Linked DNA regions of Astyanax mexicanus. The protein of the gene in region 1 interacts with the protein of each later gene in a pairwise test. Links are inferred from orthologs where the notes say so. Each region holds a gene or a part of one and is shown in the gene's direction. Other genes may lie near its edges. The genes, in order: fgfr1a and grb14.

Evidence for each region.
Region 2: the proteins of fgfr1a (region 1) and grb14 interact in a two-hybrid assay, tested with the Homo sapiens proteins (2 studies listed by BioGRID, with this or other methods). The link is inferred for Astyanax mexicanus from reciprocal best matches to the Homo sapiens genes FGFR1 and GRB14.

The regions. Positions count from the first base shown.
Region 1 is NC_064419.1:25,850,069-25,857,323, forward strand, and holds the start of fgfr1a (fibroblast growth factor receptor 1-A), read left to right. Parts: upstream 1-4,210; 5' UTR 4,211-4,974; intron 4,975-7,255. UniProt on the Homo sapiens protein: Tyrosine-protein kinase that acts as a cell-surface receptor for fibroblast growth factors and plays an essential role in the regulation of embryonic development, cell proliferation, differentiation and migration.
Region 2 is NC_064418.1:34,769,713-34,777,057, reverse strand, and holds the start of grb14 (growth factor receptor-bound protein 14), read left to right. Parts: upstream 1-4,332; 5' UTR 4,333-4,671; intron 4,672-7,345. Other genes in the region: cobll1b (cordon-bleu protein-like 1b), read left to right, coding at 1,294-1,365. UniProt on the Homo sapiens protein: Adapter protein which modulates coupling of cell surface receptor kinases with specific signaling pathways. Binds to, and suppresses signals from, the activated insulin receptor (INSR). Potent inhibitor of insulin-stimulated MAPK3 phosphorylation.

The DNA.
Region 1 (7,255 bases):
GGTCAAACTCAGGCAGCTTTACTTAATTTTTACAAGGTTTCTAATCCGAAAATGGTTACAAACTCATGTGACATTTAAAAAGCATGTTTAAATGCAAGTCCACTTATTCCTTTGATTTTCTCTCAAGAAAGTGTTTATTTTAAAGAAATGGTTTACTTCATGTTCAAATAATTGATATTTATGACAAAAAAAATACTCCTGTTAAAGGAACTCATTCCTGTTACTGGAACTCACTCATGTTATTGCTACATCTCTGAAGGGGTTTTTACATTGTTAAATACAACCCGCGAAAACAACAACAACAAAAATTGTATATGTCCCCAGGCTTTGGAAAAATAATTACATTAAGACATTGGGAACAAAATGAATACAATTATTATTTTGTATTGTAAAATATGTAACAACAATCTTGTGTGTTAGCTTCTTTTTAAAAAGAAATATTTTATTTTTACTGCAAGTCAGTGTAAAATTATACTGAACAACAAGATTCACATTATGTAAAAAGTGAAACAAAAAGAGAACATTTTTGCTTAACAAAAAAGCTAGTTCAAACCCGAATGATCATGCCACCAGTTCTTATATTTTTATTATTAAAAGAATAACAATAAAGAGACTATTATTTTAGCTAAGTAATCAAATTAGTTGCTTGTTAAAGTGCTTGTAATTATCTGCTGTTATCAAGATTGTATGTATTTAATAGCACTCATTGTTTCAGCTAGCAAAGTCTGCTATTTCTGTACAAGTTCACAACAAGTTTAATTGCTCTGAATAAATAAACGTGGCTTTTTATCCCGGAAATCAGAATGCTGCTAACTTGACTTTGGGGAAAAGCCCTGTTAGTCACGGCCCAGTAGTAGTTTAGCAGACTGCACGTCTGGACACACCCAAATCCTCCCCAAGGTATTCCTCTGGAAGATCAAAAGTGAGGAAGAAGTGTTTAGTGTGGAAATATGCCTGTGGTTTCCTCAATTACTGGATAAAATTCCATGTCCATTAAAAATGGAAAAGATTCAAAGTTTAGTATTTTTTAAAAGTTGATACATATATAAAGTAAAAAGTACTTGATTTTAGGATATTCTAATAATTTTAACGTCTTATATATGGAATGATGGGCTTCAGAAAAATGGGGACCAGCTTACATTTCATCCAGCATTTGTAAAGCACAAAAGCAATGCCCTACATCCACCTATAGGCACAAACAGACATTAACTAGTAAGTTAAGAAACCTAAGTGGAACCCGGAAAAAATACACGAGTAGACGGCTGCAGACTACCACTGTTTGCATTGATAGGGTTGATGAAAACATGTTTGAAATGACTTATATCCTTGAAGGAGTTTATAAGCTATGTTACCTCACATATTTGGTTATTCAGTTGTAGTGGTAGTTACAGTAGTCAAATTTACAACTTTAATAACTTTTAATAATAATACTTTGATTAGTATTTACAATTAATGCTGTCCCCATCAAATTTCTAACAATGGGAAAAGACTGTAAATCTCATTACTGTATATACAGCTCTGGAAAAAAATAGACCACTTACAAATGATGAGTCCTTTGATTTTACCAAATTGGAAACCTCTGGAATATCAAGAGGAAGACGGATGATCAGCAGCCATCAAACCAAGGTGAACTTGGCTGCCTGCCAGGAATGGCATTAAGTTATCCAAAAGCAGTATGTAAGACTGGTGGAGAAGAACTGTGATTCTGGAGGGAACTTGTGATTAAAAACCAGGGTTATTACACCAAATATTGATTTCTGAACTCTTAAAACTTTTTGAATATGAACTTGTTTTCTTTTGCATTATTTGAGGTCCGAAAGCTCTGCATTATTCTGCAAATAAATGCTCTAAAAGACAATATTTTTTATTTGGAATTTGGGAGAAATTTCATAGTGTATAAAATAAAACAACAATGTTCATTTTACTCAAACATATACCTTTAAATAGCAAAATTAGAGAAACTGATTCAGAAACTGAAGTGCTCTCTTAATTTTTTTTCAGAACTGTATGTGCCCAATCATGTCTCTGTCTCTGAACCTACTACAAAATCTTCCAGCTCCCCGGTTGTTTGGCACAGAAACATATATGGGGTTCAGAACAAGTTTTGAATTATGTACTCTATAAAAATGCAAATGAACTTTTTCTGCACAGTTTAACAAGATCAGATATTTGAGTAAAGTTAAAATGTTAAAAATGTGTCTCTTTGTATTGTTTTACTAGATTTTTGTTTGTTGAATTGGACATTATAATTACAATTACATTTCAATACATTATTTAAACAAAAGAAAATGTTTTATGTATATACAGAGATGAGATTGGAGATTGGAGATTGGATAGTCCAGGTCCAGGGTTCTATTTGTAACATTAGTCTAGCATTCCCCACTCTAAGCTAAGGTAGCGTGTTACTACATGTATAGCACCTGGAATAAATGATAAATCGTATTAATTAGCTTATAAGCGAAACTATTCCTATATTGATAAGAATAAGAAACGTGTCAGTATTATTCCAACTTAGCTCAGATGTATGTTCATAAATCCAGTCTTTTTTGTGTCCATGTTTAGCTTGGTTAGCATATAGAACCAGTGCTAGGCTATTACTATACAATATACAAGTCAACAAGTCTGGGCAACATTAATGAAAATGTGGACATGGTTTGAGTGGTTTGAGTGGCTTTAGAGACGTGCGTGGACATGATTTTAATAGAAAGATTTGGTAACTACTTACTTGCAGTGTTTGTTAGCCAATCATCATTAGCCTGATTGACTAGCCTACATTTTGCACCAAAGCAGAACATAACACTTCACTTCTTTGTCATGTTAACACTTAATTTGCATTTTTATAGAAGTAACTTTACAGGAGTAAAAACTCATTCATTTTAATAAAAGTCAGCATATAAAATCCAGTTATTTTGGACCATTTTTACAATCGTATCATATTGAAATTTAGTCAAAATGTAACAAATATATTTAACATAAAAATATAAGGTAATGAATAAAATTGAAATATAACTTTACTTCATTCAGGTGCTTGTCTAAAGAGCCAGCCACTAAGCATATTGATTTGTAAAGTACCCCAAAGCAATGACATCACACAAAAAAAACACAACAGAAAATGAATATTTTACATTGTTATATTACTCAGCTAATCATTTCAGAAAGGTAAAGGGTTCATGTGTATTATCTTGAACTTTCGTTATGCTAATCATACACTAGACAACTTTGAAAAGACTCTGAAAAGACTTTTGATAGACCGAAGTCTTAAACCTTCTCACATATAAAGACAAGTCACAGACCTTTTAGTCACAGACTAGTCAGAGACTAAGATTTTGCAAAGATTGGGGATCTTGCAGGGTCACTATTTGCAAGACAGGAAGTAGATTTTTTTTTTTATTATTATTATAATTCAGCAAGTTCTTTCCACGTTTTCTTCTTTCTCCACTGTTGTGGTATAAATAGGAAGACACGTCAGAAAGAGACACTCCACATCACTATTTGCATGAACCAAATCTCGAGACTCAAGACTATAATATTAAACACGGTTGATTTTATCTGAACGTTCAATCATAACCACCTTAAACTGAAGGATCAAGATAAGACACACGCAACTCGACTGTAGCAAGACGTTTTTATCCCGACACTGGAAATTTGTTTGCGACAGTGAAATCGCTTGAAAATCACAGCTTTTGAATTTCAGATAACAAAAATAAGATAATTCTTTTTTCAAGAAATGTATAGGTCTGAATGTTTAAATCTAAAAAGCTTAAGTTTTTTGTGAAGCAAGTTTTTTCAGCAGCAAATTTCACCACCTCAAAGTTCTAAATAAATTAGAATATACAAAGATGCGAGGCGAGTTTGTTGTTTGGTGTCGCTTTTTAAAGGAACCTCAAACTCGAACAGACCCGAACAGCAGGCGATAACTTACACAGACAGCACTGAAGGAGGAGGAGGTTTTTATGTAGGATAAACATAAAAGTACATTTCTAGTCTATACATATAAGACATAAAAATAAACAATTAAGAGCTATTTTAGAAGGGCTAATCAGGTTTATTTATCCTTCTTGGGAAAAGAACTACACTCCCACAATGCAACAGAACCAATGGAGAGTCCTGAGGTGTTGTGAATGGCAGAGGGGGGAGCCAGGTTTCAAACCCAGTGATGTAAGCGAGTGTGTGTTGAGTGTGAGTGTGAGTGTGTGTGTGTGTGTGTGTGTGTGTTTGTGTGAGTGAGTGAGTGCGCGCGCGCGCGCTCCATCGTAGGTAGTGAAGCAGCTCCACGCATGACTCCGGAATCTGGTCTTCTCTGTATCCTCTGGTGTGGGAGGCCGAGAGAGCGCGAGCGAGTGAGGGATGCAGAGGATCACGGTAATATCAGCCCGACCAGACCTACAAACTCAGTCTGCGGGGATCAGGCTCGTTTAGGACGGTCTGTAGTTCGAGTCTAGGCGTTTTAGTCGGAGGATTACTGAGCGGAGAAGCGGTAAAAGTTTTTTTTCCTCCCCCCTTCCACTTTTCCTTCGACCAGACCTCCGTCCTAAACAAAAAGAACCCGGGTGGAAATTTTCTTCGCCAGAAAGGCACCGACTCTGCCGGACATTTACGTAAGATTTGTATCTTACCTTTTATATAAAAAAAAAAAAGTCTTACGTGTTTTTGGATTGACGGTAAGATCGTTTTGGAGTGGTTTGCGGTGATCGTGGAAAAGGAGAGCACTTGCAGCCGAGACGCGAGGCGAGTTTGTGTGTGTTGGTGTCGTTTTTAAAGCGCAGGAACCCCAAACTTAAACAGCAAGCGATAACTTACACAGACAGCGCTGGAGGAGAAAGAGGAGATTTTTGTGTAACGTTAGGATCGACTAAAGAAGAAGAAGAATATCAAAAAGAACTTTCTTTATTAACAGCCCGAAAAAGTTTTTTAAATCTCGGAACGAACTTTTTTCCTCTCCGCGTTGAATACAACCCTCACTGGAGCTAAAAGGTGAGTAACATACCACCTAAGTTCACCTAAGATACATTTTCACTGTTTAAATCTGAGTTTGGCTGTTTTTCTAGCTTGTTTTGTTGATGTTTACAGTACTGAAACATGGCATGCCGTGCAAATAACACATCTGGTTGTAGTTACTCAACTAACCTAAATTAGATTAACTAGATGAACGATTTTTTTTTATTCTCACTTCAGCATTTTAGTAGCTTAACTTAGTTAGCTAATGCTTCAAGTGTTCTATCTATCTATCTATCTATCTATCTATCTATCTATCTATCTATCTATCTATCTATCTATCTATCTGCATTGATATGTTCATAATGTGCATTATCTTCCTAGACTATGCAAAGTTAGAATCTTTTAAATATTCTTTTAGTTCATTTACAAAAACGAACCCTTGGTTGCACCTTTTAAGTTAGACTTACCAGGTTAATAATAGTTTGTATCTCACTTCACCATTTTAATATCTTAAATAGGCTAATGCTGCAAGTGCTGTATTGTGGCTAGGTTAGTGTTTTATGTTAAGCACTGGATAGGACTATAATCTAGCTAGCTAGGTAAACGAATATTTTTAAACATTACCTAAATTAGCAAGCTAGTAGCTAGGCTATCCATTTTCTCAATGAGTAGCATCTGTATTTAATGAGTGAACAGGGAGAAAGGTGGCTTTATTTTATTTTTGTATAACCTGCTTGACCTATGTAACTTAGTTAACATCCAGTGCTGCAGATTCTGTCAACTAACTAACTTAGTTAGCTAAAATGTGAGTAACCTAGTTAGCTTTACCAAAGTCCACCTAAGAGAGTTTTTCACGATTTAAATCTGTGTATGGTTGTTTTTCTATCTTTTTTTTGCTTATGTTTACAGTGTTGAAACATGGCATGATGTGCAAATAACAACAAACCGGGGTGTAACGTTAACTTAGTAGGAACTAGTAGGACTATTAGGGTTAGCTAACTAGCTAATCTCTTTTTAGCTAAATATCACGTTAGTTAGCTAGCTAACTAGTTGCTAGTTTACGCTGTTCTTAATGACTAGCATCTGTGTTCAATACGTGAGCAGAGAGAAAGGTTGCCACAAAACAATACTATTAAAATACTAAGAATAGTGAGAAAATACTAAGCCTAAAACTGTTGAAAAGTCAGCGTGTTGCAGGAACAAATGGCTGAAGGCGTTTGGTTAACTAGTTGAGAGAGTTGACGGCGCGCAGCTGGAGCGCAGCACAGTTCAATAGCTGGATAATTCTGCGAATCGGTTCTTTTTTGCGAGTCGTTCACACGAATCGGCTCAGATTTCCTTTTACTTACACGTTTAGGTTTTTAAACATGACACATTATGCAATCAAATAAAGATTAAAAGTTGTTCATTCATGCATTTGCAGCATAAAACGCTTGATTGCACAGAATCAAGTGACTCAGAGTTACTTTCTGAATCATTCTTGGTGACTCAGACGAGTCACTCGTCAAATGGCGCTGCTAATGACACTACATGCGATGCGACTAAGGGATACTATCGAGTTCGAGTTACTAATATTTAATGGAAAAGAAGCAAAAACGAAGAAACTCAGATGTGAATCAGCAAATTGTTTAATTAGTCACTCAAATTATTCAAACGGAGCGGTTTGGATGAGTCGGATCGGTAAACAGACTCGATAGCTAGGTTAAGATAAACTTCTCATCATTAACGTTAGTTCACTAGCTACCATTTGGCACGTTGTTGAGCTTTAGCTAGGTTAGCTGTGCTGTTTTAAAAGGGTTGAATCTAGTGTTTTGTGTCTGAAAAGGGTTTTAGACATCCAGCGCTGTAGATAGTGTAGAGAATATTAAGGTTGAAGATGTTTAACCGTTTTAAGTGTGCACTTTTAAGTGTGCATTTTGCTGTTTGTTAGGAATGTGCAATAGTATACTAATCAGATTGGTAATGTTAGCATAAAGGTAATCAATGAATAGTCTTAGGCTTAGATTTCACTGACATCTGTTTATATTTTAATTTATTTTAACCTGTTATGCTTGGTTAATTTAATAAATGTCTGCATTGTGACTGTCATGCGTGGTACTGTGTTTAAAACGCTACATAAATAAATGAGTTACAGAGATTATGCATATGTTTTAAAAATGTTTAGCTATAAATGTGTCTAAATCAGGCCAAAGTTTCCATATCTATGTGCTTCCAGAAGTCTTGAGTGTAAGCCTTAAGTGTAGCCTTAGCCTTGTTCCTTCATAAACCTTTAACATCTGCTAACAAAACACACAAATATTGTACAGTCAGACTATAC
Region 2 (7,345 bases), on another chromosome or scaffold:
GGACAGTATAGAAACAAAGAGGTGTTATTAATGTTTTATGTAATAAAAACATTAATGTGAAACATGCATGCAAATATGGCATCACATTACCATTCTTATTTAAATAGCAGCTATTGCCACCACCCTGCAAAAAAGTTAACTTTTTGTAAGTAATTTAATTAAATCAAATATCCGTATTTTTCACACTATTAGGCGCACTTAAAATCCTTAAATGTTCCCAAAAATCAACAGTGTGCCTTATAATCCGACACGCTTTAAGTAAGAATCCTACAAGTCATGTATTAAGAAGCAGTAAAGCCACTCTGCGGAAAAGTACAGCATTATAAGCGTTAGCATTAGCTGCTAACCGCAGTGCTAGCTCTTTCGCCATTCAGAAGCGAGTATATTGGACTGTAGTCTGCATTATTGCTGTGTTAAAACAAGCTACGTGGGACAAACTGCTAGATTACTCAAGGTTCCTCAGTCTAGTACTATTGAGCAGCGTTTACATCCCTCTAGTACTGCGATAAGCAGCTAATGCTAATACTGCTTTATACATTCTTAGTGCTGGAGCAACTTAACTTAAAACTCACCCTTAAACAAAATATTGGAAAGCTAATTTTACTGTAAATAAACAGAAGCGCTTTACTCACCCAAATAAACGGTTTTCAGAAGAGAAATCTGTGTAGATTAACATCCAGCGGTTGTTTGACTATTATGTTTAAGTATTACATTTTTGTTTACCCTTGTTCACTTCGATGTAGTCTTTCTACTAGTGTCGCTTAATGTGCCTTATAATCCGGTACAGCTTACGTATGAAAAAGAAAAAATCCGGTGCACATTATAGTTTAAAAAATATGGAAATAAGTTTCTCTGGATAAGACCGTCTGTTAAATTCTATTAAAATAAATGTAATATAAATCTACTCATTCATTGGTTATTCCAAAATCATATGTATTAAAAAGAGAAAAATCCAAAAAAATATTTAATTTTGCACCATCATTGCTTTAAATTGTGCTCTGTAGGGACCAGACAAGTGGTGTGTGCATTTGCACATATATGTCAGCAATGGTTTCAACTTAAATTAGCAGCATTGATTTAGAAAGGGGGTCCACAAATACTTAGTGTATATGTAAACAGTGTATTAAATGTAAAATGTAGCAAACTGTTTTAAACGTGAATGACGCCTAATAATTCTGTATATAATTACAAAGAAAACTGAAACTTTTTTTTTTATTATACTAGCCGCATCTAAAGTATAAGGTCTCTATATTTCTAGGGCTTCTCTCACTTAACACTTTATTTGTTTTGCAGGGATGTGTGATGTCTCCTGTGACGGGTCCTGCTCCAAGTTTGCAAGATGCAGCACAATGTCAGGAGGAATAAAGCCTCTCTTCACATTCTTAGCTTTAGCTTTGATCCCACTGTGCCTTAGTGAGCACTTTTAAGCGTAGTGCCTCTGCATCCTGTTCTTCGGTTTCTCCAGCCATCCCACTCGTTTCCCCTTTTCTGTCTACACCGAGGACACTGCAGCTCAATGTCGGTAAACCAGGGCAGTCATAGTGCTGGAAGGCAGCAACTCATTCTGGGTTCTAATGTTCCTGATCTGGTTTAACTCATCAGGGGTGAATGATCTGTTTATAAGTTGGAACAGGTGGGTTAGAGCACAGAGGAAACTGAACTGTGCACTGCTTCAGCCTTCGAGGACTGGACATACCCATCCAAACTATAAACTCAGAAACTGCTCTCTGGACTGTTTTCTATTTTCTGTCTGAGAATGAGTGCGAATGTAGAGTCAGCTTTTGCTTCTCATGTTTCATTGATTATGAAGACTGACTTTAAAATCAACTCTCTTATTTGGAAATATTTAATGCAGTATATTGTGGTGATATTGGAAAAAAAACAGAACACAAGGCGCACCTGAGGGAAGTAAATCACTGAGGTTTAAACCTCTGTCCTAACTTATTATGCAAGAGACTTGCTTGGTCTGTAATTGTTCGGAGACCTATTGGAATATGTTGTGTTTATTTTATTCTCAAATTTATTATATTAAAATCTTTATGAATTATCAGGTGTCAAAACATGCATATTGATTCTGAACCTTGTTTAAGTTGTTTTATATGATTTATTTTTCATTAATTATGAATATGTTCAGTTTTATGAAAGATCATTTGTTTTATTTGAGTTTGTTTGATGTTTTTCTTTAACTTATTAGGTGTAGGGCATAGAATACTGTTATCAACGAACGTGGAAAGGGTACTTACACCAAAATGGTGTCACCGTTTACCCATGTGCATGTATACTGAACAAATACTTTTGTGCTGGTAAACACAACTAGTACACATGACGACGTAATTGTAAATGACATAAAAGACAGTAAAGTAAGCAGTATGTAATAATGTGCACCTACACATAGATTATAATGCATTACACCTGTGGGTGTTTCATTTGTGTAGCAAATGGATAAGAAAGAAGGTAGCCAAAAAAAACATTGAGTTACATCATTTCAACAAAACTGAAAGACAAAAAGAAAGACACTGGGCTGCTCATGCTTGATTTGAAGACAATACTGCTGTAATATCTGAAATTCTTTCCAGTCTGTGCATTAAAATGTAACATATGAGTCATTCCTGAATGGGCTTGTTCCTTGTGCATCACACACGACAGCTCAGGAGATCTTTGAGACATGCTATTTATATGACATTATGTGCAGCATAGAGGCTTATAGAGCTACCTAGTCATGGACACATGGATTTGCTAACTCTGTACACAAGTACAAAGTAGTAAACAAATGCACTGTTTATAGTGTTAATCATGGTTTTCCAATGCGTTTAAGCTGTAATGTATGTGATGTATGTGCTTTGTTGTTGAAGGATTTTAAGTATTCTTGCAGACCCTGTAGAAAATAATCTGGAAATATATATACTTGTTTTGCAATCAGGGAACACCTGGACTAAAGAAACATTAAAAATTAGAAAACAACCAAAAAATAAAACATTACAATTAATGACAAATGTAACAGACTTTTTACAGACTACAGAATTTACAGACTATTGAACTGAGGTCAGAACATATACACTGAGCAGTGGGCAGCCACCTCAGCACCTAGAGGGCATTAGGGGGTTTCTCTAATTTTAAGACCAGGGATATTAAACCGTATCCCAAAGGGCCAATATGGAGGTTTGAATTCCAGCCAAGCAGAAGCACATAAAATCATTCTATTATTTTATTATATTATATTATTAAGCCCATTTCTTGATCTAGAGGGTGCAATATAATTTATTGCAAAAAGGGGCCTAGCAGTCACCTTTTTCTCCACTAGGAAAGCAGCTCTGAACGGGCTCTGAGTGGTCCAGCATACTAAGATGCTAGTCGATTCGAGGATTGCCAGTTTGAATCCCGGATGATGATGCTTGCCCTTAGCATGAAGTGCTGTAAGATTTAATGGGAAAACACAGTTAACCAACACCAGCAGATGACATGGCTCTCCAAACCATCCACTTTATGTTTGTAAACTTTTATGGAGATGTGGATTTTATTTTCCAGCAGGACTTGGCACACTGCCCGCACTGCCAAAAGCACCAATTGGTCTTATATAATATTCTAATTTTCTGAGACACTGATTCTTGGGTTTTCATTGGCTGTAAGCCATAATCAGCAATTAAAAAAAATAGATCTCTGTCTGTCTATCTATATAATATATGAGTTTCACATTTTGAACTGAACTACTGAAATAGAGTAACTTTTTTAATGATATTCTATTTTTTGAGATGCACTAGTATGGTACACACTGTCCAGCATATGCAAACACTGAGCAGGGGCATTCATATACACGATCTCTCTATAATATAAGAGCAGAAAACTCCACCATCTTCCTCCTTTTTACAGAAAAAGAAAACAAGCCTTTTTCTGTTATAAAATCCTAGTAAAGCCTATTCTATTTGTTAAGAGCTGGATATGATGTGATTTAAAAAGCAAACCGTCATCAATCAAATAAAAACAAACAAACAAAAGTGTTTAAAACTAGATACCATTTCTTGGATTATGGTATCTTGTATTTTTTTTATAGCAAAGCAGTCAGTAAAGATTATTATTAGGGGTTGTATTTGTTGACAACCCTTATGTTGGGAATGTCTTTAGATCTGCAGAAATGTAATGTTCATATTTTATATTATATAATATGTATAATAGGCCTGTGTATGTACAGGAAAATTGGGGTGTCTGGAAAAGTCATGGATTTTTTTCTTAAAAAATAAAAGGAACCCTTATTTACGGACAGGGGAATAATACGGACGTAAACATGACGTACAGCATCGCCTTTCCTCGTGCTGTGGTGAAATTAGCTGCACGCCTGGGCTAATTTGCTCCGTGTGCGCGCAGCTGGGGGTGCACGTGGTTTCCTTCAGGACGCTTAGGAGGACTTTAGGGAGTTTAGGACTTTGGCGCAGTACAATGGTCTTTAGGTGAGACGCTTAAAAGCATGGAAACGGTGATTTGAAGCCCGTATACAAGCTGTCTCCGCTCAAAGCCCAGTCACAACACCGTGACGTCGCGCGCTGCATGAGTAATAAGTGGCGCCCCTTAACCCAGTGAGCGCGCGGGGCCGGACAGCCATGGGAGCAGTGCGCGCGCGGTACAGCTCCGGACAGCAGCGGGTACAGTGAGCGCACCAGCCCACAGCGGTCTACACCCGTAAGTTACATACAGCACGCGAGCGGCGGTTCCTGTGTGTGTTTGTGTGTGTGTGTGTGTGTGTGTGTGTGTGTGTGTGTGTGTGTGTGTGTGTGTGTGTGTGTGTGTTATCATTGCTTTTACATTTCGCTTACTGTATCTTTATGCAGTGGAAGGAACCGTAGTCTGTATTTGCGAGTACTGCACTGTATCTGAGCTCAAACACTGAGGCAGCACCGTTTATATAAGAAAGGCTGAAAAGGCTCAGTCCCAGTCTGTGTCAGTGAGATCCTGCGTGTGTTAAGAGTGTTGCACTGATGGGGGATCAGTGGTAAGCAGGTAGGCTGATTCTCAGGTAGAGCAGGATTTTAGCTGTTACTGCTCTCGGGTTCGTGTGTTTGATCTGAAAGGTGTAGTTAGTTTTTGAAGTGTGATTTTTGGGCTTAAAGAACTTTTTACGCACCACCGCTGAGTTTGGTATTTTTCCCAAGAAGACTAACAGCAGCTTCTCGGAGAAATTTTACATGCCCATCGCCTGGGGGTTTGCCTGGAGCTACATTTGGCTCCAAATCTTAGTGCCACCTGTTGGTAGGCTAAGGAAGCCTAATGTAACTATGTATTTTACATGAATAGCTGATAGACAGACATGCACTACCAGTCAAACGCTTTAGAACTCACACACACACACATACAGCTCTGGAAAAAAAGAGACCACTTAAAAATTATGAGTTTCTTTGTTTTTTTTCCACTTAAATGATTGATGGTAATTGATGATCACAAGCAGTGAAAACAAGCTAAACTGCTTGATTTTTTGCACCAGGACTGGCATAAAGTTATCCAGAAGCAAACATTCATTTCTGAATTCTTGAAACTTTACGAATATGAACTTGTTTTCTTTGCATTATTTGAGGTCTGAAGGCTCTGCATCTTTATTGTTAATTTAGCCATCACATATCTATGGAAGTCCATTTCCACAAATAAAAGAAAAAATAGGGGTGTTCTAAAACTTATGTTTAGTTAAGTTCACTGTAGTAAAGATTAGGCTCTACACTTGGAATACTCAATGTTTAAATCCAATTAACATCTAATACAATATTGTGGCCATAAGGATTGGTTATAATATTGTGGCTGGGGTGGGTGAAGAATGGAAGAGTGTAAAATACTACTAAAGTCATGCATTTTTAAATGAACATTAATGAATTAATATTAAGTCATTTACTATTTCATGGAATCTGTGGGTACAGGCATGCCTTTTTACAGACATTTACAGTAAGTTTTGTAATTCCTGTATTTTCTAACAAAACAATAATTAATCTATTCATAAATTGTCCTAATAGTCTACATGGTCAAACAATTATCAGTAACTGGTAGGACTTCTAGAAGGTCTGATGGAGTTGATGATTATTGACCATAAATTATTTGAGTGGTTGATGTGACTCGTTAATGCATAGTGTTAGGAGACTAGCAAAGCTTTAGAAACTAGCATAATTCTGCTGAATAAAATATGATACAGAAATGATACTAAAATCATTCTGTTTTTTAAATTACTGATGGAAACTAAAGTTTATGTTTAGATTAAGCTCTTTGCTATGTTTCCCTGTGTAACTCTGTATATGAAGCAGTGAAACTCTTCAGCGTTGTGTGCATGTGCTTGTTCAGCAAGTTCTCCCCAGGCCTACTATGCGTCACAGATCTCACCCTTTTGTCTTACTGGCTCCTGACCACTTTCTTCAGACATGCAAATTGTCTGTTTCTAGCATGATTTCATGTTAAGGGAACATTGCACTTACAGGATGAATGTAGAGACTGCAGTGCTAGGCGGCAGTGGGCCGCGTGCGTAGTTGGGAGCTTTGGGCTATAATTACCTGCTTCTCTGTGACTTTTTTTTATATTACCTGTTCGTACACTGAAATGAAAAGGCACGTGAGGGTTACTCCTCAACCGGTTCCCTGCACAACATTTACCAAGAACTGGCTCTGCAAACTGTCATTTTTTTCTAAGAACACTTTTCCACTAGTTGTGCCCAATGTGCACTTGGCCTTTACATTTCAGTCTCTGTGTTGTGTTTTTTTTTTTTTGTCAACTTTGTTAAAATATTTTCATTTCAGATTTTTAGGAAGGTAAAGTGCTGTGAGGCAATTAATCAAATTAATTACATCCACTGTTATTTAATATTCTAAATTAATCACATTCATAATCAAAATATTTAAAACTTTACAATTAAATTCACTTTTACCTGAGGAGCAGATGAATGAATGAATAACGGGCTTAAACTTAAAAGCTCCTTGTAATGAAAATCAATTGGTAACTGTCAGTAGTGCTGTAAATACTGTATCGCATAGAACTATATTTTGACATCAGAACACAGGAATGCAGCTAACAGCTCAATGCTAACCTAGCTAACAGCTGAACTTAGCAGTAAGGTTTGGAGGGTGTTAGCCTGGATGCTAAAATTCTGAGATAAATTAATCGCTGATTTATGTTCCTGTGTTGATTAGATATGGTGAGTTCTGCTGTTTGGTATGATATGTGTATGGTGGAACGCCAGCACCAGGCTACAGTGCCGGTTACTGCCGGTCATTTAATTAATTAATTTATTTTTTAGATTGTCTAATTCTGTGTATTTCCGTGTGTATTCTGTATTTATGGCTGAATTCCTCAATTCCTCTATTTGTTCATAGAACAAAGGTGAAGG